Coturnix japonica: one gene and its partners. The protein of the gene in region 3 purifies or fractionates together with the protein of the main gene of each other region. This does not show direct contact. Links are inferred from orthologs where the notes say so. Each region holds a gene or a part of one and is shown on either strand. Other genes may lie near its edges.

Region 1 (3,886 bases), on a different chromosome or scaffold from region 3:
CATAACATCTGCTAAACACACACGAGAACCTCTAAAATACGTTGATTAAATTGTCTGCACCCTGCCTGGAAGAAACAAAACAAATGTACAAAAGTTCAGCTCATCACAAATGCTGAAAAAGAAAGTCAGCCCGCTGATTATTTATTCCATCTAGTAGATGTTAAATGAGCCACCACGGTTCTTGGTCTGGGTCAAATTAGAAATGAAATAGCCCCAAGGTCATTTGTTCCTTCTAATTGTCTCTCCCTTATTTAACTCCTCACTGAACTTCTACAGCTTTCTTAGAAGAAAAATCCATCAGCATTACAAACCATCAGCAGGTCATTGTTGCTTCTCTACCAAAAGAGTTCAATAGCTTAGCATGGACGACCTACGACTGCTAATGGAGAGCTGTTCTGAACAGCGGCTAACTGCAGGAATAAAACGTTGGTATCACAGCCTGCCTCAGAGTCTGGAACAAAACCCGGCTGCACTAAGTCCAATTCTACCACCCAGCAATAAAAACACAGAGATGAACTCAAAGCTCAGACATACCTGGAGGGAGGGGCTGGTTCTGCATGAAGAAGCCAGGCTGCTGCGGATGCCCCATGATGGTGTAGCCCCACAAGGCAGACTGAGGATGCTGCATCATTTGTGAAGGAATGGGCGAGTAATTGGGAGGCACTCTGTATAAGTTGTTCTGTGGATATTCCTTAAAATATACAGTAAAAGCGAATGTTACTGACATTCATACCTTACTAACTCATAAATAATGCCAGTTTTCCTACTAAATTATTAAAGGATAGAGACAGTTCCCATTGTCGTTTGCAATGATGTAAAAAACAGATTAAGTCTCAGGCTGCCCACAGGTAATTAACACTAACAACTTCACAGAGACACCATCCATTTCTATCTTATTAGCAAGCACCTTCAGCAGGCTACCATAAGGCACAGCACAAGCACGGCGTATCTGTACTGCACTGTATTGTACTGTATCTGAAAGGAAATAATGGGAGGAACTTAACTGAAACATCAAAAAGGCCAGAAAACAATGTCCAAGTTACAGAGGAATTTCAGAAGGTGAAAAAGAACATAATTGCTGTAATTTTACACCAAACGAGAAAGCATACATAGAACCTGAGCAACATTCAGTGAGCTAAGATCCAGCCTAGCACCTTGTACATAGCACAGAAGGTCCTATGTGTGCTACGCTCCTCTACATTGATTGTACTTGATAGGAATCCACCCTCCTGCAGACCATTTCCATTCACTACCTCTAATGGAACCCCTCCAGGTAGGGTACAACCTATGAATGCAGCAGAGACAGCATGGTGACAGGATGTTCCCAGCTCTGCACGGAGGCACCAGCTACTTACATCAGCCTTAGAGCTTGACTTTGACTTCCTCTTCCTGCCCTTTGTCTTCTTCTCATCATCTGTGGTGTGTTTTCCCTGATCGGAGAGCTCCCCCGGCTTCCTTTCTGGTTCCTGAGAGACAGGGGTGGTGGGCTCTTCCTCCTCCTCCTCTGGAGGCAGAGGCAAGGGCTCGAGGTAGTAGCTCCGTGGCTTGGGTTTGGGGTGTGCGTGATACAGGAGCAGATGCTGCTGCTCTTCATATTTGATCACCTTCCTGTCAACACGAACTGTACCAAACCATGCCCAGGAGAGAGGAGCAGGATTTTTGTGACCTTCAAATAAGTCCCAAGGGGACACCTTCTGTTTTGTTGAAACCTGAAGACCCTGTATCAAAATAAAAGTGAAGTCAGCACTTTAGAGAAGCTGAACAGCACAGCGAACTACTTGCTTTTGTACATCATGATTTGAGTCACAAAATCCAGTGAGGGTCCTTTACACCCCCCAGAATGTACCAAGTGCACACAGATGGAACTTCATCCTCCACCTAAAGCTGCCACTGGATAAAAGCTGTTAGATTTTTATAATAACATTTGCTTGCAGCCATGCTAAAAACCTCAAGTTCCACCTATCTTAGGAGGAAAAGAGGTACTGCAGAATTACAGATTTTAGCTTTCTTCCTTACATAAATAAACAATTTAAAAAACAACAACAACAACAACAAAAACCAATGCTGGCAAAAAATCCCTATCAGCACAGTTTGTATCTTCCTTCTCTTTCCTCCATGTTTCGTAAGCAGGAGCACCCCCTGCATTGTCCTCCCAGCATGTGACAGGACAAAAGGTTTCCAGGTCAATCAAGCTCTCACATGCAGGATTCTGCTGAAAAAGCAAATACTGTTGTGAGAGCTTCTGCTCTTCGGCTCCAAGAAAACATCATATTCCTTTTTGGTCACTCAAGATGCTGGATTGCAAAATCAAGCAAGCTTCTGTCAGCACTCATTTCATGAGTCACAAATCAACCGTGTGCTCTGCACATCATTCAGTTCTTGTTTGTACAGACTCTGGTGACAGGATTGTAGACAAATCAGAATGTGATTTCTGTCTCAGAAAGTCCTGAGCTTGTATAGGTGGCATAGAGCTGCATCCATCCCAAAGGCACCCAGAGGAAGAGCTCTGACCCATCTGCCAGCTGGGGCAAGTTGTCAGGAGAGGACAGCAGCACCGTCAGCGCTGACGCAGGAAGGTGGTACTGCCACAGCACACCACGATGCTGGAATCTGAAAGCCCCTCTCCAAACACGCTCCTGGCTTCACACACTGCCCAAGAACCTTCATATGGATCATGCCAACAAACACCCTGCACATGTATTGGAAACAGAATTACATTTGCTACCAAAACCCAGTCAGTCATTTGCAACTGATCTGAACAGCGGTGTCCTGCAGGCCCAGCACTGCACACTTCTGCACCACTGCTTGGTTAACACAGACTGTGCTGCTGAGGCTGAAGCTTTAGTAATGACCAAATGCATCAGCAAGCTGTATTACAGCAGAAGTACAATACTCTGCACATACTGGATTTAAGTGTGTGTATTATACAGGCTGTACATGTTTGCTTGAATTTCCCTTGCATCAAAACATCACGAAAAAACAGAGACGAAGGTAAACATTTACTCTTGCCTGTTTTTTATCAATGGAGTCAAACCCTGCAATTTTGTTGCCCTTGGTGTCGATCAAGGATCCCATTGGCTCACAGGTGATAATATCACAGGTCTGCTTTGGCAAAGGGAGCAGCTGGCGAACCTTGTCAATGCTGTCTGACCGCTTGTCTCCCAGCTCCTTCTAAGGGATAAACAAAGTGCTCAGTCAAACAGCAAGGTGGAAATAAGGAAGAGAAACATTGCCCTACTCTCACTATTAGAAAATGCCCAGTTTGGGGATGAATCATTTCCCTGTGCTTTTACTAAATTTAAACAAGTGTTTTTGCAGCCCTGTTTAGCTTGGTTCTAAGAAATCAAGTTACCTTGTTGGAGTAGGTCATACAACATACATAACACAAAGTAAATGCAAAGGCAGTGTCTCAAGCATGAACAAATAGAAGCAATTAAGTCTCTTCCAGGGTTCTGAATGTAAAGTTAACTATAAGAAATATCTTAGTAGTTTGTCTCCCTGCCTTCACATTCCTAATTTTTTATTTCCTCCTTTTCTTTCTTACTATTAATGCCACTTTATTCCCTTTTCTCTTTCCAAGGCACCAGAAATGACAAGAATCAAAAGAAATGCTGCAAATGATGAGAAACAACACTTACTTTTAACTTCTTCACTAAATTCATGTAAGCCCTTTTGTTTTCCTCAGGTCCTCCTTGGGAAGCATTGGACAAGTCGGAGGCGAGCGTCCCATTGATGAGGACGCCCAGCATGTCCAGCACAGTTGTGAACAATTCGCTGAGAGTGAAATGACAAACGTCACTTTGAAGAACAGCATGCACACGTAGCCCCATGTGTACGTGCTGGTGGACTGTCCCAGTGTACACATAAATCCTACTGTGCACCACAG
Region 2 (4,470 bases), about 25 Mb from region 3:
ATACACACTAAAAATAATCTGAGATTCTTGAATCGTGTTTAATTGGAACTCAGGACCTCTTCGATCATTTGTAGCCGCGTTGATTCCTAGCCATCCTGTTCTCATTCTTCATTTCTTTCCTGGTCTTCATTAAGTGTGAATAAAACACTTCCAAAACGCCAATCAAAATAGATTTCTTTCTGCAGAGGGAGCCCCATGTGACTGTTGTCCTTTTCCATTCTTCCTTCCCCAGCTCTACCCTTCATCTGTCACACGTGATGTAGACCAGGCGAGGACTGTGCTTCTATATTCATCTCCGCCTCAAGCAGAATGCTCATTATTGGTTTCTGGGAGAATAAAGAACGCAACGGATCAATGCCATTAACCCAAGCTGCACTTAGAAGACAAAGCTGGTGCAGCTGTTGCACCGATGGTCTCAGGAGTACAGAAGCAGGGCTACACTTGGGGCTGTGGCAGACCTGCCAGAGCTCTCTGAGGGCACTTCCATCCAAAGAACACAGCCGGGGTAAAAGTGACAAATGCTGCAAGGATATAACACTGTGAGTTGCCTTCATTGCCCTACAAAATGAAGAAGACATTAACAGAACTTTCAACAGTGATCTGACCCAGTGACAGCATTTCTGCTTTGGCACGGTTCTAACAGCACCTGCCGTGAGGTAGTGTGGCACTGAGGGACATAGTCAGTGGGCACCAGGGGGTGGGGGTGGGTTGAGGTTGGACTCGTGGTCTTTTCCAACTTCTATGATTCTATTGTAGCTGGAGAAGGTTTGAGTGCTTAGGAGGAGAGCACCCGCTATCCCCCGAGTATCTCTGGCTGGCTGGCTGTAAGCTGTGGTGCCCCTTCCCTGGAGGGGCTCAAAGCCAGGTTGGATGGAACCCTGGGCAGCTGAGCACAGGGCTTGGAATGAATCAGCTTGGAATGAAGTGATATTTAAGGACTCTTCCAACCTGAGCCATCCTCCGATTCCACAATCTGTGTGTTTGATGTGAAGTATTGCTTTGTGGGGATGAGACGTTTTCTCAGGAGGATGTAAACTTCCATAGGGCAAACCTCCTGTGAGAGTTACCTGCTGCATGGGAGCTCTGGTTTCTGGTCAGACCAATGTTCAACCAGTCTCCTCTCCACTGAAATCCCAGCCCTGGTTTGGCAAAGGCAGAAATGTGCATCTATCTGGAGTGCCTCCTCACTGCTCGAGAGGCTGACAGACGAGGCAGTAACAGCCCTAAGAGCCCCATCCAACCTGGCCTTGGATCCCTCCGGAGATGGGGCGCACACATCCTCTGTGGGCAACCCGTTCCAGCGCCTCACCGCGCTCACACCAACGCATCGATCCCGATCACCCTCCCGCCTCATCCCGCTGTCCCCGTGCAGCACAGGCCCCGCCGCACGCAGCCTGCGGAGCCGGGCGGCTCCCCCAGCGCTCCGCACCCGCGGAACCTCCGCGTCGCTCGTGCCGCCGGGGGGCAGCCACCGCCCGGTCCGGCTCCGCGGGTGCGGGAGGGGGGGGGGCTCCGCGGGCGCGCAAGCCCCGTGCCGTCACGGGGCGGGGAGGAGGCGGCTCTGCGGCTGCATGTGTGTGTGTGTGTGTGTGTGTATATGTGTGAGTGTGTGTGTGTGTGGCGGGGCGTCGTCATCCGCATTCACATGGGGGAGGCGGGGGCCTCGGCCTGAAACCCCCGCCCGGGGAGGGGAGACAGCGATCCCATAAAGCCGCCCCCCCCTCACCCCCCTCCCCTCCAACCCAGCTCCGCGCGGCCATGACTTCGGCCGAGCAGACCGTTACGTGGCTGATCGCCCTGGGCGTGCTGGAGTCGCCCAAGAAGAGCATCGCCGACCCCGAGGGCTTCCTGCAGTCCTCCCTGAAGGACGGCGTGGTGCTGTGCCGCCTGCTCGAGCGCCTGCTGCCGGGATCCATCGAGAAAGTGAGTCGGGGGCAGCGGGCTTTGTCAGGCCGGGGGCGGCGGCATGGCGCGGGGGGCACGGCGGCGGCGGCCTCCGCCTTGGGGACCCCGGAGATTCGGTGCCGAGTTCCTCCCGAGGAGGATGGAAGCGGCGGGAGGGAACAAAAAGCGCTCCCTGAGCCCCGCGTCCGCCCCTAACGTTCAATTGAATTTCCTTGTAATGCGGGCTGTTGTCCTGCTTGCTTGCTTTATTTTGGCTTTCTGGGGGCCTCCGTGTGCCGGCACACCTCATGGAACCAACTTTCCCCATCTTGCTGGTGACTGTTGAAGGTCACCTGGCAGGTGGCTGTGGTCACCTGCCGTGTGTGTGTCTTTCTTGAGCCTCAGAGTTGGAAACCTTTGAGCTCTGTAGGGTGCTGGGTTTGGAGCAGGGTCCTTAGTTCCCCACAGGTTGTGGCTGTCACCGCTTTGTGCTGTTGTCCACCCTGCTCTGTTTGGTGACTTGGTGCTGTCCTCATGGACTGCAAGCAAATGGGGGATGTGGAAATGACCCCGGAGCTCACAGGTGTTATGGAAATGACACAGGAGTATTGAGTAACAACGGGGACAGCTGGCTGGGACAGCCATGGCCTGGAGCAGGCTGCACAGAGAGAGTGTGGAGTCTCCTTCTCTTGAATGACTCAGAACCCACCTGAATGTCCTGTGTGACCTCCCCTAGGGAACCTGCTTTAGCAGGGGTTGGACTTGATGATCTTCAGAGGTCCCTCCTGACCCCTGTGGTTCTGTTATTCTATGTGTGAGATGCAGCTGGAAATAATGCGTGTCCATTCCTTGGCACCAGTCACACAGTGGGGCGCAGACCCTCCTCAGGAATAGTTTGTTGGTGCATCCTTCCATCTGCATGACAGCCGTGGTGGTTTCCCAGCCTGTCTTGCTGTGCCTCCCAACCTCTGGTCTCCAGAGCCCCATGGAGCTGGGTGCTGAGCATTACAGCAACGCAGGGCTGTCCATGCACTTCTGGCAAGCCTGGGAGGATGATGGGGTCCTGAGATGGAGTAGGGAACAGGTTCTGCTGCAGGCGCACTGAAATAGAGATGAGTGATGGAAATAAGTAGCAGGAAAGCGTTTCCCAACTTCACGTGCTTCTGTGTACGGTGCAGCTAGGAGTGGCTTTGATGGGAAGGAGAGGCGTGCTCTTGTTATTGTGTCAAAGGAGGCAATGCTTGTGATACTAGGGTCCCTTCCCAATCCCAAACCTAAGGGGAGGCTGTGCAGGAGCACAGCTTCCCTCGGGAGCTGACAGTGGGGTGCTTTTATCCAATCTGCCATACAGGGATAAGCCAAATAGTGCAGGGTTGTGCAGAGGGTGGTGATGGGCTGGGATGGCTGGCAGAGGGGAGAAGGTCTTTCAGCCTGCCACCTACCCCAGCCAGCCTGTGTCCAGCCCTCTGCTAGAGCTCTGTGTATTTACTGATTTCTTTGTTTTGTGAGCAGACCTATATGTAGTTCTTGGCCTTTCTCATTGTGCTTTCTAGCCCAAAGGTGCCTTTGAAAGTCTCACAGACTTGTGTCCCAGTCCAACTCTGGGCTGGTCGGTGTCCTTCCTTGTAGATTACACTGTGTTCGTGTGCTGTATTTGTGCTGGGTAACTCCTTGTCAGGAAGCACTGGCTCCATTTGTTTACAGAACAGTTGCCTGTCTTGAGCAGCAGACAGGTATTCAATTCATCCGATTCCAGGAGCTGTGAATGAGAGCGAGTTGGAAGGCAGCATTACTATGCATTGCATCTCTTGCTTCTGAAGAGTGGCCACGAGGAGGTAAAATCAGGCAGGATTGTGCAGAGCAATGGTCCTGGTGAACAGTTTTGTAACATGGGAAAGGGGCAGAAGGCAGAGCAGTTGCCTGCAACCAACAATGAATTTAGAAGTGTCTGCAACTGTGTTCAGCTTTTCCTGTTGACTCTGGTCCGCTATCAAGGTGAGCAGAGCTAAGGATACTTGTTTTAGAGTTGTTTATTTAACTATGCACATACAGTAGAGTAATGCAGTGCTGATGATGCCAGTAGGTGCTCCTGAATCCTCATGAGTAATTTTGTATTTGCTTTCCTTCTTCAATTTCCTATGCATCCATCCATTTTCATATACGACATGCACAAGATCAGGATTAGCATTTTTAAGTATTCTAGAAAGTTTCAGAAGATGTCATAGAATCATCATAGAATGGTCAGTTTTAAGCAGTAATGGTCAGTAGTTCAGCAGTAGCCGAGAAGATACACCAAATCTCTTGAAATTAACCTGAACGTCAGTACTTTATTGCTGAACTGACCTTTCAAAACTGGGAATAAACATACACTGGTATACAACTAGAATAAATGGTAGGGAACTGTAACTGGGGGGTTGGACTTGATCTCTGGAGGTCCCTTCCAACCCCTGTAATTCTGTGATTCTATAACAGGGCAAAAGCAAAGACTGCCACCTCCCCCTGCCCAAACCCTCAACTCCTTAAAACTCAGCCGTGCATTACATTGCACCAGTCTGTAGATCACAGAATCACAGAATGACCCGGGTT
Region 3 (2,795 bases):
AAATGAGGAAGGATTCTTGATTTAACAGCCATTTTCTGTACAGAATATGCAAAAGCTGAGAGAACTTTGATCTGTGGTTCAGGTAGCTTTAACAGTAAGGCAGGGCAGAAACCTGTAATTGACATAAGTAACAGTTTGCATCAGTAACCTGATCAAATTGGAAAAATAAAAGTAGCTGTCATCATATGAGTCACTAAGCAAAAGAGAACAAAGAAAGCCAATGGAAATGACTTTGGAAAGATGAAAGAAGGTAAAAATGCAATTGCTGAAGCAAACAAATAAACAGGTTCAAAGAACTGAAAAAAAATATAGGTGACGGAGACTAAAGAATAAGTGAGCTCCTTCTGAACTGAAAAGAGCTGAATCTGCAGTATGTTCCAAAGCATCCACAACCTTGGGATACCTGACCAAAATATCTGTGGGGTCTGGTGACTGGGCACTGTACATCATTGCTTCAGGCTCTGCAGCTGTATGTACCCAATAGGCTCAGCTGAAAAGAACAGACCTGCAGGTGCTGACTGCTCAGCTGCTTCTAATAACAACATTGCACTTTGCAAAGGGAAAAAAGGACCACGAGCTTCTAAAACTTAATCCGAAATCAAACGCACACTGAGATGAAATGTGCTGACTAATGAATTCACGCAATAAACCTAAAGATTTATGTTTGCAAAGCGCAGCAAAGTTACATCAAAGGTGAGTTTATTGTATATTACAGTAATTACAAACATTTTTTAAACACCTTATTGCCATGGTTTTGTTCTCAGAACACACTATGTGATTAACAACGTGCATTTCAGCAGTAACAAAAAAGGTATTAAAATTACAAATGTTATGCCTTGTTTCTGTGCCATAGAAAAGGCCATCTTCAAAAGAGTCAAGTTACTAGCAAACATAGGAGGGGATTCCCCTTACACCTTTTGTCCCAGGAACGTTGTCCTCTAATATGTATAGTAAATATATATACAAACGCACGCATCTCTTGCAAACATACACATTTACATCAGCACTGGAAATCTGACATCCCTCATCCAGCAGAAAGCTCCCAGTCATTTTAGTTGAACATCTAATGGGAAAAGATATATAAATTTTAAGTTCATGGTTTGAAATTAGCCACTCTTTGAGCTTGCTGTATCTTCTCCCTGCATGGGGCTGCCAGCATAAATAAAAGGGACTTTGAATAACAGCATCCAACCTACCTTCACCACAGGAAAGGTCTACTAGGGATACTGTCCCTCCTGTACCTAGTCTGAGTCGCTGCTGCTGCTTGAGGAGTCTGTTGACATCACTTCTACATCATCTTCATTCTCTTTGTTGTGTCCCGGAGGCTCCAACATGAAGTCATTACTATGATTAGGAGGTAGCATGTTCATTGACATATCACTTGACTGCCAAGGATACTGAGGAGCGAGCACATCTGGAAACAAGGAGCATAATCAAGCCATCAGTTGTGTGTGTCCACCATCTAAACAAGGGAGCTCAAACAACAGTGTAAAATTCAAGCAAATCTTAAAAACATGACTGGCTTTTGGACAGCTGAAAAACACCTTGTGATGGAGTCATTCTATCACTGTAAGAGCCTATTCTGCCACAGGCTTATTTATGTAGGTGGCTTAATCTCTCATCAAAGGAAAAAGTAAATTCAGAACAGTATAGATTCAAACTGTGTTTTGAAGGTGAAAAGCTCTACATGAACTGACTTAACAGTCAAAACCACCAGCGGTTATGAAAACGGTCACTCTCAGACACTATGCAAAAAGACATGAAAATATTACAGCAAGAAAGAATAAGGTAGGCACAGGAATTCAGATTTAAGTTCAGTCTGAACAAGGTAGAAACACCTCGGTTATCCTTTTTCAAAGAGCAAATACAATGCAGCAAATGCAAGGGAGAAGACAGTCCTACTACAAAACAAGTGCCATAAACAGATGTATCTGGGAGGTGGGAATGCCTCACAGTGCCCCAGCAGCCCAACCCCAGCGTCCTCCAACGTCTCTCAGATTTATTTCTCCTCATCTATTCCAAAGCTCTCCAAACATGTATTTCTCACGAACCTACAAGGGAACTCCCTCCACGACACTTCTTAGTCTCTCTCCTCTTTGCCTCCCACTTCAAAGCTGCAGCGTGCATCTGTATGTCATTTCTGCTCCTTTCTTTCTAATCTCTACTCCTACAGATACAGGTTGGGCGGAGGATGGCTTGAGAGCAACCCTGGGGAAAAGGATTTGGGGGTGTTGATTGATGAAAGATTCAACGTGAGCTGGCAATGTGCACTTGCAGCCCAGAAGACCAACAGTGTCCTCAGTTGCACCAAGAGAAGCATGACCAGCAGACTCCCCCTTACTCTGCTCTCATACCCCACCTGGAGTGCTGTGTCCATTCTGGAGCCCCAAACACAAGGACATGGAGCTGTTGGAGCAGATCCAGAGGAGCAACATAAAGATGATCAGAGGGCTGGAGCACCTCCCCTACAAGGACACACTGAGAGAGCTGGGGCCATCCAGCCTAGAGAAGAGAAGGCTCTGGGGGGACCTTATAGCGACCTTCCAGTACCTGAGGGGGGACTAAAAGAAAGCTGGGAAGGGACTTCTTATAAGGGCATGGAGTGATAAGATGAAGGGAAATTGCTTTAAACTGGAAGAGGGTAGACTGAGACTAGATATTATGGATACATTCTTTACTGTGAGAGTGGTGAGACACTGGAACAGCTGCCCACAGAGGCTGTGGATGCCCCCTTCCTAGAAGCATTCAAGGCCAGGCTGTGAGCAGCCTGGTCTAGAGGGAGGTGTCCCTGCCTA
Region 4 (4,036 bases), on a different chromosome or scaffold from region 3:
AAAATGCAGGTGTATTTTCAAACAACTTACACAGCAATACAGAAGCTGTTTAACATCACAGTCATATTACGACTTCATTACTGTTAGTGAGGCAAGCTGAACTCCTCTGGGCTTCCTGTTATTCAGTCTTCAGCCAGCATTACAATCAACACACAACACTGCAGCCCAAGGTTAAGTGCTAGATGGGATTCAGATCCCGTTCAACTTCCCGAAATAACTTTTCTGCCTGCAGGAGGGAAACAAATGGAAGAGCTTTGTCCAATTCTTTCATCTGGCGATTACATAAAAAATATTTTAACGTGATATTCTTATAGCAGCTCCAACTTCTTCAAACGACTTGATACTGCAGTGCTGGAACATTACATTCTATTTCCTCGAAACTCCTTTTATTCTACTTCTTTTCCCCCCTTCACTCCTAGAAAAACCAACAGTCGATGTCATGTAGTTTCTATTATTATTGTTTCAGGATGGGTACGCCTAAAAAATGTCTGGTCTTTGGAGTATTTGTCTCAGTTAAAAGCCAGCACAATATTGCTCAGAGGAGCAATTCCCCACCAGTAACCCAGCAACAGCAACTAGCAGCTGCTTATTACAGTTGTGTTCTGTAAGAAGTTAATTGCACAAATAAAGCAGCTCCAGAGAAATCCATGTTGCCAGCAACAAAGTTACTTTTTGTCAACTCTAGGTTATATTGTCATACACCGAAGTAAACCAGAAGCAGCAGCAGCAGCGCACTGTCCTACACCTACAACCTCCAGAGAAAACAGCACCATGGCTCAGGGCTGCAGGTTTGCCCTCGGTGTCCCATCCTGCTTCAGACCACAGGAGCCCTTCCTCCAAAATAAAAGCGTGTTTTTAAGGACAGCCAGAGTCCGTAACGAGCTCTGGGTGTGCACGAAGCTTTCCAGTCTCAGCAGCGGCATCTCTGAACACGTGCACTAGTGAAGGTTTCTGTAGTTGCCGCACCTCCGGCACGTCGCTACGTTTCTGACCAAGAAGGACGAAGCAAAAAAACAACCAAAAAGCAAAATGAGAACCCGCTGCACAGCGTGTCCGGGGAGACAAAACGTCACTGAGGTCCCTGATCATCGATCACGTAGGAGGCTCCTGCGATAAACACAGACTGAACCTTTAATTACCCACATTAACACACGCATAAATGTTGCCCCGTTTCCCTTCCGGCCGGAGCGCAGCACAACAACGGCACCGCCGTCAGGAAGCGGCCCCTGTTCAGCACGGCCACGAAAAGGAGCGGGACTAACGGCGCGAGGGGAGAAAACGAGAAGAGACAAAGGAAAAAAGACGCACAAAGCAGAGAAAGCAACAGGACAAAGCGACAACTGCGCCCCGAGCTGAACCGGCGGGGCCCGGACACGCGCTCCGCCCCGCCCCGCTCTTCCCCTGCCCCGTACCGGCTGCGCGGGCCGCTCCGGCCTGTCCGGGCAGCGCCGACCGGGTGTCGCGGGGCCGTCGGGCGGCGCGTCCGTGGCCTCCGCAACGTCCCCGGCCCGAACGCGGCGGCCACACCGAAGTTCCGCGTCCGCAGCCCCGCCCGCGCGGCCCCACGTCACCGAACCGCCCGGCCCTACAGTCCGCTCACCGCCCGGCCCTACAGTCCGCTCACCGCCCGTGGCCGCCGTCCCCCCCGCTGCAGCCCGTCACTTCCTGCGCGCTGCGCCGCACCCTGCAGCGCTTCCTGTGGCTCCGTGTATCCGAGCGGTGCCGGGATGGCGCAGGAGGCGCTGGGCGCGGCGGGGCTGCACTTCGACGAGCTCAACAAGCTGCGCGTCCTCGACCCCGACGTGGCGCAGCAAACGGCGCAGCTCCGCGAGGAGTGCAAGGCCTTCGTGGACAGTGAGTGCGGGGCGGGGCGGGGGGCGCCGCTTCACTCCGCGCAGCGCTGACAGCCACGAACGCGGGACCGTTTTTCTTTCAGAAATAGCGCAATTCCAGAGCACGGTGGGCGGCCTGATCGAGCTCATGGACCAGTTGGCCAGAGCTGTCGAGAGCGAGAAGATGAAGGTACGGTCCGTTGGGGCTGTCCTTGTAGTCACACCTCCTGGCAGGACGCAGCTCATGGTGGGCTCTGAGGACAGGGCTGTCCAACGATTCACGCAGTAAAAACCTCTGTAACTACCTCAGAAACGTGCACTAATACACGTCACCAAGCGCTCTTTATCTTCTCACTTTATTATGGGGTTGGAGATGAATTTTCAGCACAGCTGTGATTACTTTTCCCTTGTTTGTTCTGTGGGAGAAACTCCTGAGCCTCCTGTTGGTAGCAGCCACCAGGGGGTCAGTTTATTTCACACTGTTAGGAATATCCCAGGTTGGAAGGAAGCCTCAGATGCCTCAACCCGCCCAGCCCCTACAGGGACTGTGTTTGCTCCACAGCCCATCCAGCAGGACGATGCCCCCTTTGCTCTTAGCACGGCTGAAAGACTTTCATCGCGACCTGCTGGTAGTGAAAGGGGTTAAAACTCCTTGTACAGATCCATCACAAACGTCTGTTTTGACAGGCCATCGGTGCACGGAATCTGCTGAAGTCTATAGCAAAGCAAAGGGAAGCACAGGAACAGCAGCTGCGGGCTTTAATAGCTGAGAAAAAGATGCAGCTGGAAAGGTGAGCTTCCTATTAAGTGTTTTTGGGGCATGGACGTAATAGTTGGGAAAGAAAGCTGTGTAGATGTGAGAGAAACAGCCACGTACTGAGAAGGATCATTTCTAATGGCTTTGTGGCTATCCGGATAGAGGTGATGTGAGATCATACAACTGTGGAAATTAATAAAACAGTAAGAGTGGCAGGCAGGTGACTTCTAAAGGCTTTTTAGAACTGTCAAGTCTAATTCATGTGACTGTTGCCTTAAAAAGGACACACACGAAGCCCTGAGCTTCGCTCTCAGACTGGTGAGCACTGCACTAAAATATCAGCTGGTAACCTATTTTCTTTGTCTTTCAGATATCGAATAGAATATGAGAGTCTGTGTAAAATTGAAGCGGATCAGAATGAATTCATTGACCAATTTATTTTTCAGAAATAGAAGACTTTAAGATAAAGACCAGCTTGGAAACACGAGCATTCCAGACTCTTTGACTATTTCAGAAATATGCAATTTTTCACTGTGTGCAAATAAATAAGGATGGTTTGTGCAAATAAAAGTGTTTTTTAATGCAGTGTGAGTTACACTACAAGTGGCAATAAGGAGGGCTTTCTAACAGCTGTAAGACTGTTCTGTCCTTTGATTTTTATAAAGGTTTTATACAGTCAGTAGTTCAGATTCAATCTGTAGTTGAATTAATACTGCTGTTCCTCTGTTAATGTCTCTCTCCCTTTTTGAAATGTACAGCTCTTTCAATGAAATCAGGCAATAAACTTTTGTTTGTCACCTACTTGGACATACCAGAATTAGCTTCTTCTGCTTTGTTACTGGGGAGCTCGTAAGTTTGTGACTCCCTGGATCGTCATCATGAAGGACTTCCCTCATATAGCCATTTTAACACTCCTAGCAGCATAACGTGCAAAAGAGAGAAGCAGTGGTTGGTAACTCCTGCCTGGGAATTCCTAAACTGGTCAGAAAAATTGGTGATTAACAGAACGGGGCAGTTGCACACAAAGAGGAACAGAGAATTAAGATTAAACTGTGTTTGAAGTAACATTGCAGTGGAATACTGCAATTTAACCGTAGGACTTCAGACTGATGAGACAAACAACCCTCAGCGTGTAGTGGCACCAGGAACGCATACAGACCATAGATATGAGCATGGCATTTAAAAACTGAATGTCTGTGACCTAAAATCAAGGCTCTTGTTCAAACAGCAATAGATGCATTTTACACCTGTCTTTAGGCAACCACATAAGAAAACGCTGCCCTTTTCAAAGCTTGTGGGAGGTTTAAGTTACACACCAGTAACGTCCTGAAATAATAAAGCAGTGACTGAAGAAGCCTGCTAGAATTTTACACAAGTCTTCACTGCTCAGTGGCCCAGAATTTCACACAAGTCTTCACATTGTATTCTTACAGATCAAACAGGAAAA
Region 5 (2,955 bases), on a different chromosome or scaffold from region 3:
GCAATGGGCTGCGAAGGATCCGGATGGGAACCCAACTCCTGCCTGCTTCCATGGCTGGGAGCACCAGCTGCTATGAGTGAACCTACAGGTGTGCGTTTTCCTTCTCATAGGAAATGCCACGAGCGCGATCTGGTAAGGCTCAATGTACAGTATATTGTCAGTATTCTGGTATTCTTCTGGTTCAGCATACATTATAGCTCATATATAACCTGTATTAATTGTATAGATTGTGCATTTAAAGCTGTTACCAAGTTGTCAGAAAATAAGAGAAAAAGGAAAAAAAAAATAATAATAATAAAAATGGAAAAAAAAAAATAAAATAAGGTCATATGTAATATTTTGTTTGTAAGTATCCTTTGTATCATAGCAAAGGAAATGTTAAAAAGAAAAAAAATCAACTGTAATAAAGTAATTTTAGTACACGGAGTGTCGGCCTGTGTCCATGGAGGGGGGTGGGGGGGACACATCACTGTGGCAGCAGGTTACAATGGGGATTGGGAAATGGGGGCAGGATGGAGGTGCTCCATCCCTGTTATACCCGCCCTCTGAAGCCCCCGCCCCACATTACAGAAGGCGCTGCAGGGTGCCGGGGGGGGGCTGCAATGCTATAGAGGGGGGAGCGTGGGGTGATGTTTCCTAATGGAGGCCACAGCCCAGCAGGGATTGCAGCAGGCCCAGCCCCCAGCTTGACATTCATTAAGCAGCACGTTCTGCTGCTCTCAGCACAGCCAGCCGTCCCCACGCTGTGCTCCAAGTGCAGCGCAGCCCCTTGTGCCCTGAGCCTTCCTCTGCCCCATCACCATCCTCCCCCAGGCTGCCACAGCCAGCAGGTCCGGGCCGAGGGGACACGATGGGATGGAGCCGGGCGCCGTGCAACGCTCACATCTTTATTGATACAAATGTACAAGGACACATCTTACAGGAGGGAGCGCGGCGCGGGGCAGGACGCCCAGGAGGGGAGAAAAGGGGGGGAAGGCCTCCAGGCATCCCCTGTCCAGTGTAATGCTGCGGGCGGCCCTGGGGGAGCGCGGCCGCGGGGAGGGGGGAAGGAGAACGTGGCCACCCCATTTGGCTGGCACACGTTGTGTACTGGGTAAGGTAGGAGCAGGCTTGGGCTGCTGCTGTACAAGGCAGCTCCCCAGGGCCGAGCACCAGCTCTGCTGCCACAGCCACCGCGCTCAGCCCAAACCAGAGGGAGGACACGCAGAGCAGAGCCCGTGTTGGACTCACTGCTTCTTCTCGCGGGTGGTGATGGTGACCAGCTGCTTGGCCGCCTTGGCGATGTCGTATGCGCACTGGATGACCTGCTGTGTCAGCAGCTGATAGTCCACGGCTGCGCCCGGCTCCGGCGGCACGGTTTTGCGGCACTCGCTCTGCAGCCGGTACGCGCTGGCGTTCAGCAGCCGCAGGGAGCTCCGCACCGTCTCCAGCGCCGGTTTCTGCACGGGGAAAGCGTTAGGACATGGATATAGGGCAATGGGAGCCCGGCGGGGCCACCCCCAACCCCTACCTTGGGGAAGAGCGATGCCATCTCCGTCACCGCTGAGTGGATCTTCTCCGAGCACGGCACGAAGCTGCAGGCACACAGAGGGCTGAGCGATGTGGGGCACAGCATCACCCGGCCCCACGCTCACACCGCAGCCCTACCTGTCGTGCTTGGACTCCTGCGCAGCCCTCAGCAGCTCCTGGATGTTCTTGGTGACCTGCTCGGTTTTCAGGATCACGTCCTCCGTGCTGGGCAGCCCAGGGTCCAGCTCCCCGTCCAGCGGGTCCAGCTCATGTGGGAAGTCCTCGTCCTTGCTCAGCTCCACGAAGCGCTTCCCCTCCACACTGTGGGGACACAGGGGTCAATGCCAGCTCCGTGTCCCCCAGCGGCCCCCATCCCCATCACTCACCCCAGCAGGATCTCGCCCGTCTGTGTGTTATCATAGTCGCTGTCGGTGCCGCTGCCGTGCCGGTCCAGTTTGCTCTGTAGGGCAGAGCCACAGTGTTATGCCCTGCCCGGCCCCATATCCATACAGGAATAAGGTTCCCCTACCCCACTCTGACCCCACCCCCCCGGTACATCACCATGTGCCGGGCACCATCGGGTGGGCAGGAGAGCAGCGGGGAGGACGGGGGAAAGGGCATGGAGGAGACCGACGGACCTTTCCGCATCTGGAAGGGGAAGAGAGGGGGGAAAAAGGGGCTGAGTGGGGGGGGCACAGAGACGAGCCCGGTGACGTGCAGGGGAGGACGAGCACAGGGGACACCACCACCCTGCATGCAGGGAAGTCCCGCGGCTGCCGGCCCCACTGTGGGTTCCCCGGCGCTGCAGGGGTGGGGGACGTCCCAGGAGCTCGGGAGGCCGACAGCCCCCCCGTGCCATGCAGGAGCCGCCCCCGCTGCGGCCCCCTTACCCGGTACACGCTGGCCGGGATGTGCATGGAGTACAGAGCTTCGTCCTCCACCTCCTGCGACACACGGAAGAGTAAAGCCCCGCCACCCCCAGCTTGTCATCACTGCAGCTACCCCGAGACCCCTCCCCACAATAACCCATCCCAACGCAGCCCACCCCAAAGCCCACCCCGTACTCACGCCGCCTCCAAAGGGCTGCAGCCGAGTCACCAGCTCCTCCACCGGCTGCCCAAAGGGTTTCAGCACCGAGCCCGGCTCGTACATGGAGAAGGCCTGGCGGTCACGGCGGTGCAGGGGGGCCGTGCCGGGGGGGTGCCCGTGTTCGGGGCGCTCGCTGGGGGCTGGGCTGGGGTGTGGGGGCACCGCCTGCTGCCGGATCTGTGTGTTCTCTGATTGCAGCTTGTGGATCTGCAGCGGGGCAGGGAGCAGTAAGTGGGGGGGGATGGAATGGGGAGAAAGGGAAAATGGGGAGCCTGGAGGGGGGTCCGGGACACACCTCGCGCTGCAGCCGGCGCAGCTCATCGCTCAGGCTGTTGTTCACCTTCATCAGCTGCTGCA
Region 6 (4,673 bases), on a different chromosome or scaffold from region 3:
CACCATCTAGAAGCCAGCTGTGAATATCTATAACTAAAGCAAAACTTGAGCTCCATGCAGTTATCTAACTGTATCCGAGCCATTAGGACTACTGTAGTACAACACCAAAGCTCTAGCACAGCTAGCTCTCAATTCTCACCCAAAGAAACACCTTTCTCCTTCATTTGCAGCAGTAGCTGCGTGAAATAACTTTCACAGGTTCTCATGTAAGCACGTAGAACACACATTTACTGTAATTCCCATCTCTCAGCACGGCTGTAAAAACACTTTAGTGTGCTATAAAACATACTGTCCTAGCTGCCCTCAAAATGCAAAGCTGAACATGGAAGGAGGGAGAAACAAGTCACCTCGGATTAGTCCAATCATACTCAGCCTCCTTAATTAAATCCTGCATTCTCCCATTAGACAAGAGATTGCCAACAAGTAAAACTGAAGGAAAAACCAAGTTTTCTTTTTCTCATATCTAGGCCATACTCTTAAAACTTCAATTGGATAAATAAGAGCAAGAAACCTACCCTCAAGTCAAATACTATGTCTTGGGCAAAGTTAAACACATATATGCTGGAGATCCACACTTAACTGCATACAGCTCATACAGCATCTGCAGAACTGCACAGCTAGGGAATATAGATATAATATACACAGAGCAACAGAGGAAATATTAAGAGGAATTACAAACATTTATGAGTGTTCATCTACCCAAGAATGAGCCCTATGACAAACTCAGGAACTAAAAGAAATCTGTTACTCTCTCTAAACAATGCATGCACGCACAAAAAATGGAAAGGAACAGTCAAAACATAACAGATTTGACTCTCAGAATTCCTAAAGTTCCCTTAAAGCTCAAAAGGGAAGCAGAAACTTGAGTAACTGGATCATCGCTGTTGACATACACAGGACCGCACCATATGGGAGACACCACAGTGAACAGCAGAAGCACCACAACCAATGCAGAACATGTACTGTACCCTCACACACTTCATAAGTCCTCACAAAGACCTTAGATAATGTGGAACATGGTACCAATGGAAGATGATAAGTAAGGGCACTACTAGAAAACCCAGACCTAACAAAAGCCTTTTTAGTCTTAAGCCTTTTCTGCCATAGTAAAGCTACCAAGAACCAAAAATCCCAGCAAAGCACGGTTTTATTATGGCTAGCTTGCTTGCTCCACTAAATCCCTGTCGATGAGGCCTGCTCCCATCCTCAGCAGTTGCACAGTTGCCTTATAGAATCCAAGCAGTTTACACTTCCATCCTCCCGGCTGTGTCCCAACTCAGATGTACTTCAGTCTCTCCAGACACAGACCGAATGAAACCCACCTACTCAAGGTACCACCTACTCATTTTGCTTATGAAACCCCTTTGCCTCCACTTACCGGTTCTTCCACTTCTCCTGTGGCATGCTGGGCTTCTGCCTGTAAATCAATCGGTGGAGCATCTTCAACAATTCTCTGCACAGACATCTGAATAAACTCATCAAAAGAATCCAGCTGTTGCCTGACTAAACCTTTTTCATCAAAATAGGAGCTAAAGGAAAAACAAAACAAAACACATTAACAAGATAACTTAATTTAAGTGATGTATTTTGTCAGCAAGCTTAAGGTAAATTCATTACAAAATCTTGAAAAGCTCTGAAATACAGTAGAAAATACTTTTTGCCTGAGACACGGGTTGTGTACACAGATGCTCAGAAATGTTAAACTCAACTCTCATCGGTGTTTGAAGGCAGACTGCAAAGTGACAGACCTGCTGCCACCTCCTGGCTGAGCCGTGTACGCACTCTATCTTAAATTCCTCTAGCTTTTGTGTGGCCCAGACATAACCCAACACCACAACCCAGTCATGAAACCAAAGCCAACATTCCAAGCCCTGCACTCTCATTGTTAACAGGATGACCTGAAGACATGGGCTGTGTGCCACACAGCCCTGAAGGCACCTGGAGATCTCACGCTACCTTGGCTTTGCTGTTCTCTATCCCCACTGCACATAGGGAAAGGCTCCTGTTCAAAAGAAAAACACTTTTTGCTTACAATGTGCGCTTCTTAACAGCATGAGGAGCCACAGGGCCTGGCTGTTGGTGTTCTGCTGGGAAAACTAGTCCAACCTCCTACCCATCCCCACCAATCGTGTCCCTCAGCACCACATCTCCAGTGACTGACTACACCACCTCCCTGAGCAGCCTGTGCCAGTGCAGTAGAAACACATAAACGTTTGAGTTGGAAGGGACCCTTAAAGGTCAGACAGTCCAACTCTCCTAAAAGAAACAAGGACACCTATGGTGCTCAGAGCCCCTTGAATGACTTCAGGGACAGGACTTCCACCACTTCCCTAGGCAACTTGTTTTGGTGCCTCATCGCTCTTACTGTAATAGTACTTATGTACAGCTGGCTTTCTCGGCTGCCAAGGCACACTGCTGTCTCAAGTCCATCTTGCCATCCACCTGCTCCCAGCTGGTACTGGTAGCGGGTGTTGCCACAACCCAGGTGCAAGACCTTGTACCTTGTTTTTGCTGGACCTCACGAGGTTCATCAACCAGCTGCCCTATGTCTGTAAGCCCTGCCAAACCAAACAAGGGCCCCACAGCCCAGCTGAGCGCAGCTCCGCTCCCTAAAAGCCGAACCACGCGGCCCGGCCTAGTCGCAAAGCCCGAGGCCTCCGTGCACCCGTCCCACCAGCAGCAGCACAACGAGAGCATCACCTGATGACGATCCAGCACGCCTCCTGCCACAGGTCGGGGGTGATCTCGTCGTCGTCCTCATCATATTGCATATCTACAGGGGAAGAGGGAGCGGGTCAGGCCAAGGCCGCCACTACGGGGCCGCCCATAGAAGCGGGGGAGCGGCCCGGCGGGAGGCGGCCGGCGCGGCCTCACTCACCTTCATCCGCGTCGTACATGGCGGCAGCGAGGAGGGAGCCGCGACCGGCCGGGACGGGAGAGAAAGAAGCCGAGAATCCGGCACCGAGCGCCCGCCGAGCGGCGGCCACAGGAAGGAGGGCGGCGGGAACGGGGAGCAGCGCACATGCGCGGGGTGAGCCTCGCCCTGCCCCTTCCTGCGGGCTGCTCACGCTGCCCGTCATGCTGCAGCTGGGCCGGGCGCTGCTGGGCCGGCTGCGGCCAGCACGGCCATGGGCGGCGAGGCGATGGAAGGCGTTGGGCGGCGAGGAGGAGCGCTTCGTATTCCTCGAGTATGAGCCGGAGCCAGAGCCACCATCACCACCAACACCACTGCCACCACCACCGGCACCACCCGCCGCTTCGCCGACGGGCAGAGCTGCCGCGCGGAGGCGGGCGGGCAGGGAGCGGCTGCTGGGGGAGGCCGACCCGTCCGTGCCGCCGAGCGGAGTGGGCTGCTCGGGCTGCGGGGCCGAGCTGCAGTGCCGCGATACCGCGGCGCCGGGCTTCGTGCCGGCCGACAAGTACCGCAGCCTGTGCTCGGGGCCGGGCGGAGCGGCCGGGCTGCGCGATGCCGTGTGCCAGCGGTGCTGGGTGATGGCGCACGGCGGCCGCTTAGTGCGGCTGGAGCTGCCGGCCGAGCAGCACCGCGCCGTGCTGAGCGACGCGCTCCGCAGCCCGCCGCGGCACGGCAGGGGCCCGCTGCTGCTCTACACGCTGGATGTGTTGGAGCTGCCCGACCCCGTGTTACCGCAGCTGCCCGCGCTGCTCAGCCCCGACGTGCCCGCAGCGGGGCTGCTGGTGGTGGGCAACAAGGTGGATCTGCTGCCGGCCGACTCCCCCGGGCACCTGGGGCGGCTGCGGCAGAGAGTGACGGCCGCCTGTCTGCAGGCCGGCATCGCCCGGGAGCAATTAGTGGATGTACGGCTGGTGAGTGCCAAAACGGGCTTCGGGATGGAGGGGCTGGTCAGCCGGCTGCAGCGCTCCTGGAAGTGCGCCGGTGATGTCTACCTGCTGGGGGCCACCAACTCGGGCAAGTCGACGCTCTTCAATGCCCTGCTGCAATCCGACTACTGCAAGTCACGAGCTCCCGACGTGGTTAGTAGGGCCACCGTCTCATCCTGGCCAGGTGAGGGGCACTACCAGCATCCCCATATCGCACTCGGGTGCTAAGGTCACAAGGCTTTGCTGCTAAAGTGTCTGATCGACCTCCCTAAAATCAGCTCAGATGACCCACGACTGTACCAGCATCAGCATGATTTTAATTAGTGAGAGTGTCTGAGAAGCCTTTCAACAAGAGAGCAGGTACCAAGTGGATGGTAACACACTCCAGCCACTCTGCCTAGGAGGGAGACTTAAGCAGAGCAGGTGTTGATGCTTAGTTCCACCTCCAGCTTTGTTAGATGGCTCCAAGTACTTTTTTATTCATGTACCTCAGAGCTTAAGTATGAGTCTGGATATCCAGGTATCCCAGAGGTCTGGATGTGTCACCCTTTTTGCTTTCTCCTCCTTCTTCTTCCAGGAACAACACTGAACTTGTTGAAATTTCCAATTATCAACCCTACGTGCGACAGGATATTCAGGAGGCAGGAGAGGCTGAAAGAAGAGGCACAAAAAACAGAAGATCAGCTAAGCGATGAGGAAAAAAAGCACCTGAATCGCCTTAAAAAGCAAGGTTACTTAGTGGGTGAGTATTGTCTGTGTAAAACGTGATGGAACGTCCCAATGGAAATGCTGCATTACACAAAGGATTGTTAACCTCTTAATTTTCTGATGAA
Region 7 (4,359 bases), on a different chromosome or scaffold from region 3:
AGAAGTTAGGCAGCAACACAAGTCAGCAGTTGATCCTACTTTCACCACTGAGCAAGTTCCCTCCACTTTGACGACAGGCATTTAGTATAAAATAAACAAACCTGAATTATCTAGGCGCCTTAAATTTGGATGACTTTCCTGGTATTTTGAGTCTTGTTCTTTGCTAGACATCATTGCTTCTTTTAATCTGGTAATAGAAAGAATAAAGCATTCTTACAGATCAAAGGTTTCATTCTAAATCAGTTAAAAAGCAACAGACATTAAAATTATCCAACAAAAGAGAACTTCCTAGACATGATCCAACATGTCCCTTTACAAATAATTATTATCACATCTTCAGTGAAAGCAGAATCAGTTGCTCTAGTGCTGAAAATAGCGTAAGCTTTGATATCAAGAACAAAACCACATCTGCAGTCTTGAAGGCAACCTATTCCTTTCCTCTAATTGAAAATAAAAAAGGGAAGCAGGAAAATCAATCCATGCAGCACTACCATGTTTTACATAAATTTCTCAGCTGAAGACACAGATGTACTATAAGACATAGTAATTCATTTCTTTTTATAACTTTTAATAAATAAAGTTGAAAAAGATGCATAGTATTTAAGAAGAAGCATGCCAACGCTGCAAAATCATGATTTCCTACTACAATTGAATAAAGCATGATGATCCAGGGGACTCTAAAAAATAACTTGTGAATAAATTCATAAAAATCTTAAGTTATTGTTACCGTTAGAAATATAAGATTTTTTTTTTTTTCAGAGTTAAAGCAAAAAGGGAACCAGACACCATCTCAGGAGTTTACAGATTCAATACATTATTTGTTAATTCTGATTTTTCTGGTGACAGTTCAGAGATGTTATGGGGGAAGAAAAAAAAAAAGCAAATGGTCTAACTGAGGAGCTCAGGAGAAAAACACATGAATGAAACTAGTGATGCTGTGAGGAAACAGAAGAAACTCTCTTTCTTAAAATCAGATAATTGGAGAGGGATCAAAGAGCACATTGTAGACAGCCAAGACCCTAGTAACAGAATGAGGAGTATATGACAGCACTGCGTCCCACTTCAAGGCTTACTCTAGAAGAACTGCTCTAGATCCAGATTCTCTCAGAAGATTTCTGATGACAGGTAATTCCCCTGCTTGAACCCAAGAAAACAGCATCATGCCCTGATAAAATTTTCATTTTACTTACCTACTGTTGCCATAATATTCAGGCATCCCATTCTGTTCTGGTTTGTTCTCAGGTGGCTTGGCTTTAAAGTAGTTAACCAGGCCTCCAAAAACACTCTTAATGCTATTTATGTGCCTTTGACTAGTCTTCAGGTCCTGGTCCATTTTATCAACCATTAGTTCTGTACGCTTCAGTGCCTCTCCTTGACGTACGAGCTCCTAATGGATATTGACAGATAAAATGAAGCTAGTAAAGCCAAGGTAAGCTGAAACATCAAGCATTTCAATAAACGTGCTTTAAAAAAAAAAAAAAAAAAAAAGCCTCTATGAACTATGCAGGCTACTCCTAAAGTCATGCAGCCTTTTCACTCACTCCTGTTGTTCTGGGGCATTTCAGTGAAAAGCTGGCAGTAAGGTACAGCATTGGCCAGCTACAAAATTTTTGCACAACCAGTTTCTCGGTATGTACTACAAAAGGGATTCAGGCACTTCCCATGCTGGCCTTCTGTCAGTTTGTATTGCTTCTTGATGGAACAAATATTGCACCTAACGGACAATGTAGTGAAAATGCAAAGGTTTACAACAGGGAAATAAAAACTACGTCTAGTTCTGAAACTGGAAATTAACAAGGGATGCTATTTTCATATTGCTAGGTTGTTCCAGATGATTTATAAACAGACTAGTTAAAGAAAGTAAATAGAGCTAGAATTTTTTTCTTCCTGCAGGATTAGTTTTAAGGTAATGCTAACGGTGCAGAAGTTATAAATCCTGGTATGCACAGCTGTGTTATTTTGTATTTCAGTGGTATTACGCCAAACCAATCCAAAGATTCATTCTGACAGAAGACGTGCCCTCAGCTAATGCCAATGCAAAACCAAGGACTTGCGTTTATCTACAGAACTCCAGAATTACCATTAACATTAAGCTAAGGCCCAATTCTTGGTCCCTCATTTCAGCCATTTGTAGCTCGCTAAGCTGCCCCCAGCACTGCTCCTGGAGCCACCCCGGCAGTCACGGTGCAGCACTCAGGCAAATTCCCAATTACCGGATGACATCACAGCAAGGCCCTCGTTAGCGATGTCTGAGTATAGACTGCACTCCAAAACAAGCACGTGAGAATTAAGGAAATGATTAACAGAGGTGGAACCAAGAGCGTAATCGACAACAAAGCACGCAGACTTCTTATTTCATCAGAGAGCTGCTGAAAACTAAGTATATATGCACTGTTAATAAAACCCAGTAAGAAACTGACACGGCTGAGTTCTGCTCTCAGTGTAAGAGGAATCTAACTGGGATTTCACGCTTTAAAAACCAGCCTTCACCAGCAGCAAACCGTGACACGGAGGGGCGTGCTGCCTCTGAGACGCCGATCGCCGAGAAGCAACGACAGCGCCCAGAGGACGGGAAAACATCAGCACCAAAACCCACAACGGCGCGGGGCGGCGGGAGGGAACAGCCCGGGCCGGGAACAGGGGCGGCCCCGCCGCCGGGTCGGTGCCGCAGGGGCCCAGACTCACCTCGGAGGTGGCCACGCCGATGCGCTCGGACTCGTAGAGCAGCGAGAGGGAGCGCGCGGTGCTGTCGGCGGTGGCGGCCGTGCGGCGCAGCACCTCCTGCTGCAGGGAGCGCTGCCGCTCCGCGCCGCGCACCTCTCCGCCGCCCCGCGTCTCCTCTTCGTCCTCATCGAAGGGGTTGTAGCTCCTCGACGCGACCGACATGGCGAACCCCCACACCCCGCTCACGGAGCCTTCGCTCTTCCGCCCGCACGCACTGGGCGGCACTACCGCTTCCCCGGGGCGGGCCGAGCGCTCCGCTCAGCGAGGGCGGTTCTGCGGCGGACGGGCAGGGCGGGGAGCTCCGGGCAGGGCGCCGCCATCTTCTCGGCGCGATTGGCGATCCACAATGTCGCGAGACGGGCGCTCTCGCGAGAGGTCTCCAGCCGCTCCTTGACGTCTCTCACGCAATGGCGGCCGCGACGGTTGCGGCGGCGGCAGCGGCGGCAGCTACGGCAGCAGCGGCAGCCGCCGCGACCGCCGCCGCGACCACCGGCGGCACCACTGGCGGCGCCGCAGCTCCTTCGGCGGGCACGGGCCGAGGGAGCGGCGTGGGAACCGCGCGGGGCTTCTACTTCAATACGGTGCTGTCGCTGGCGCGGTCGCTGGCAGTGCAGAGTCCGGCGCCGCTGGAGAAGGTGGGGGGGTGTGACTCGCGGGGGCTGTCGCGCGGGTGGGAGCTGGGCGCGAATGAGACGCGGGTGCGGTGAGGGAGAGCGCCCGGCTGTGCCCGTGTGAGCGCCGCGCAGTGCGTGGCTCTGCGGGATGAGCGCTGGCCGTGGGCGGCCGGGCGCTCTCGTGGGCCTGCGGCGAAAGGGCTGCGCGCTGACGAAACCCGGGCTGGGGCTCGTGGGGCGTAATTGGTCTTGGCCTTGTGGGAGCTGGTCGCGAGTGCAGCATTTGGTGAAGTCAGAGTGATGTTATTTGCTGAGATAGACATCTGCCGAATGTCGAACTCAGCAGGAGGGTCTCAGTCTAGGGAGGCGTTCTGCTGTGATCTCTGCTCCGCTTGGAGCTGTGGCCGTGAGGAGACGGCATCACAGCTTGGTGCCTGCGCGCAGGGTGGCACAGCTCTGTACCAACAACTGCTGTACGTGGCTGTTCTCACCCAGGTGCTACAGGGCTTTTATTTAGTTTTTCTGAAGTCCTGTTGTTGGTCATACACCTAGCTGCAAATCATAAAATCATAGAATCATTATAGTTGGAAAAGACCTCTGAAACAGTCTAGTCCAACTGTCAGCCCAGCCCCGCCATGCCCGCTGAGCTGTGCCCCTCTGTGCCACATCGCCCCAGGGAGGTGATTGAGTCACCGTCCCTGGATGTGTTTAAGAGCCTGTTAGGGTGCGATGCTCAGATATACAATTTAGCAGAGGGTTGTTGGAGGTAGGGTGCTATGGTTAGGCTGCGGTTGGACTTGGTGATCTTTGAGGCCTTTTCCAACCTGAGTTATTCTATGATACTATTATCTCCACATTTTTAAATATCCCCAGGGACAATGGTTCCACCACCTCCCTGAGCACTGTTTCTTCATATCCTGCTGTTTGCTCCCTGTTACCTGTTGTTAATTTTTTTCTTCAGTATGAGAAACTACAGTAGGAGTTAAATGATATCAGTAAGTGAGCTGTGTAATTATGATGC

Evidence for each region.
Region 1: the proteins of MED4 (region 3) and MED12L purify together in Homo sapiens (affinity purification with mass spectrometry; 3 studies listed by BioGRID and IntAct, with this or other methods). This does not show direct contact. The link is inferred for Coturnix japonica from reciprocal best matches to the Homo sapiens genes MED4 and MED12L.
Region 2: the proteins of MED4 (region 3) and ARHGEF7 purify together in Homo sapiens (affinity purification with mass spectrometry; 3 studies listed by BioGRID and IntAct, with this or other methods). This does not show direct contact. The link is inferred for Coturnix japonica from reciprocal best matches to the Homo sapiens genes MED4 and ARHGEF7.
Region 4: the proteins of MED4 (region 3) and IFT20 purify together in Homo sapiens (affinity purification with mass spectrometry; 3 studies listed by BioGRID and IntAct, with this or other methods). This does not show direct contact. The link is inferred for Coturnix japonica from reciprocal best matches to the Homo sapiens genes MED4 and IFT20.
Region 5: the proteins of MED4 (region 3) and GIT1 purify together in Homo sapiens (affinity purification with mass spectrometry; 3 studies listed by BioGRID and IntAct, with this or other methods). This does not show direct contact. The link is inferred for Coturnix japonica from reciprocal best matches to the Homo sapiens genes MED4 and GIT1.
Region 6: the proteins of MED4 (region 3) and POLR2B purify together in Homo sapiens (affinity purification with mass spectrometry; 3 studies listed by BioGRID and IntAct, with this or other methods). This does not show direct contact. The link is inferred for Coturnix japonica from reciprocal best matches to the Homo sapiens genes MED4 and POLR2B.
Region 7: the proteins of MED4 (region 3) and SNAP29 purify together in Homo sapiens (affinity purification with mass spectrometry; 3 studies listed by BioGRID and IntAct, with this or other methods). This does not show direct contact. The link is inferred for Coturnix japonica from reciprocal best matches to the Homo sapiens genes MED4 and SNAP29.

What each region holds. Positions count from the first base shown.
Region 1 is NC_029524.1:20,889,606-20,893,491, forward strand, and holds part of MED12L (mediator of RNA polymerase II transcription subunit 12-like protein), read right to left. Parts: intron 3,775-3,886; coding exon 3,639-3,774; intron 3,172-3,638; coding exon 3,010-3,171; intron 1,719-3,009; coding exon 1,356-1,718; intron 692-1,355; coding exon 535-691; intron 1-534. UniProt on the Homo sapiens protein: May be a component of the Mediator complex, a coactivator involved in the regulated transcription of nearly all RNA polymerase II-dependent genes.
Region 2 is NC_029516.1:125,506,735-125,511,204, forward strand, and holds the start of ARHGEF7 (rho guanine nucleotide exchange factor 7), read left to right. Parts: upstream 1-1,590; 5' UTR 1,591-1,758; coding exon 1,759-1,923; intron 1,924-4,470. UniProt on the Homo sapiens protein: Acts as a RAC1 guanine nucleotide exchange factor (GEF) and can induce membrane ruffling. Functions in cell migration, attachment and cell spreading. Promotes targeting of RAC1 to focal adhesions. May function as a positive regulator of apoptosis.
Region 3 is NC_029516.1:150,964,857-150,967,651, forward strand, and holds the end of MED4 (mediator of RNA polymerase II transcription subunit 4), read right to left. Parts: intron 1,415-2,795; coding exon 1,242-1,414; 3' UTR 1,197-1,241; exon of another isoform or gene 1,064-1,196; 3' UTR 683-1,063; downstream 1-682. UniProt on the Homo sapiens protein: Component of the Mediator complex, a coactivator involved in the regulated transcription of nearly all RNA polymerase II-dependent genes.
Region 4 is NC_029534.1:8,043,125-8,047,160, reverse strand, and holds IFT20 (intraflagellar transport protein 20 homolog), read left to right. Parts: upstream 1-1,696; 5' UTR 1,697-1,727; coding exon 1,728-1,854; intron 1,855-1,936; coding exon 1,937-2,022; intron 2,023-2,519; coding exon 2,520-2,623; intron 2,624-2,959; coding exon 2,960-3,041; coding exon of another isoform or gene 3,042-3,051; 3' UTR 3,052-3,406; downstream 3,407-4,036. UniProt on the Homo sapiens protein: Part of intraflagellar transport (IFT) particles involved in ciliary process assembly. May play a role in the trafficking of ciliary membrane proteins from the Golgi complex to the cilium.
Region 5 is NC_029534.1:4,837,763-4,840,717, forward strand, and holds the end of GIT1 (ARF GTPase-activating protein GIT1), read right to left. Parts: coding exon 2,894-2,955; intron 2,806-2,893; coding exon 2,578-2,805; intron 2,454-2,577; coding exon 2,400-2,453; intron 2,158-2,399; coding exon 2,071-2,157; intron 1,970-2,070; coding exon 1,896-1,969; intron 1,831-1,895; coding exon 1,648-1,830; intron 1,575-1,647; coding exon 1,511-1,574; intron 1,440-1,510; coding exon 1,227-1,439; 3' UTR 868-1,226; downstream 1-867. UniProt on the Homo sapiens protein: GTPase-activating protein for ADP ribosylation factor family members, including ARF1.
Region 6 is NC_029519.1:43,876,808-43,881,480, forward strand, and holds the start of POLR2B (DNA-directed RNA polymerase II subunit RPB2), read right to left. Parts: upstream 2,898-4,673; coding exon 2,879-2,897; intron 2,774-2,878; coding exon 2,701-2,773; intron 1,530-2,700; coding exon 1,379-1,529; intron 1-1,378. Other genes in the region: NOA1 (nitric oxide-associated protein 1), read left to right, coding at 2,896-4,024, 4,418-4,582. UniProt on the Homo sapiens protein: Catalytic core component of RNA polymerase II (Pol II), a DNA-dependent RNA polymerase which synthesizes mRNA precursors and many functional non-coding RNAs using the four ribonucleoside triphosphates as substrates.
Region 7 is NC_029530.1:57,919-62,277, forward strand, and holds the start of SNAP29 (synaptosomal-associated protein 29), read right to left. Parts: upstream 3,040-4,359; 5' UTR 2,887-3,039; coding exon 2,686-2,886; intron 1,388-2,685; coding exon 1,191-1,387; intron 188-1,190; coding exon 102-187; intron 1-101. UniProt on the Homo sapiens protein: SNAREs, soluble N-ethylmaleimide-sensitive factor-attachment protein receptors, are essential proteins for fusion of cellular membranes.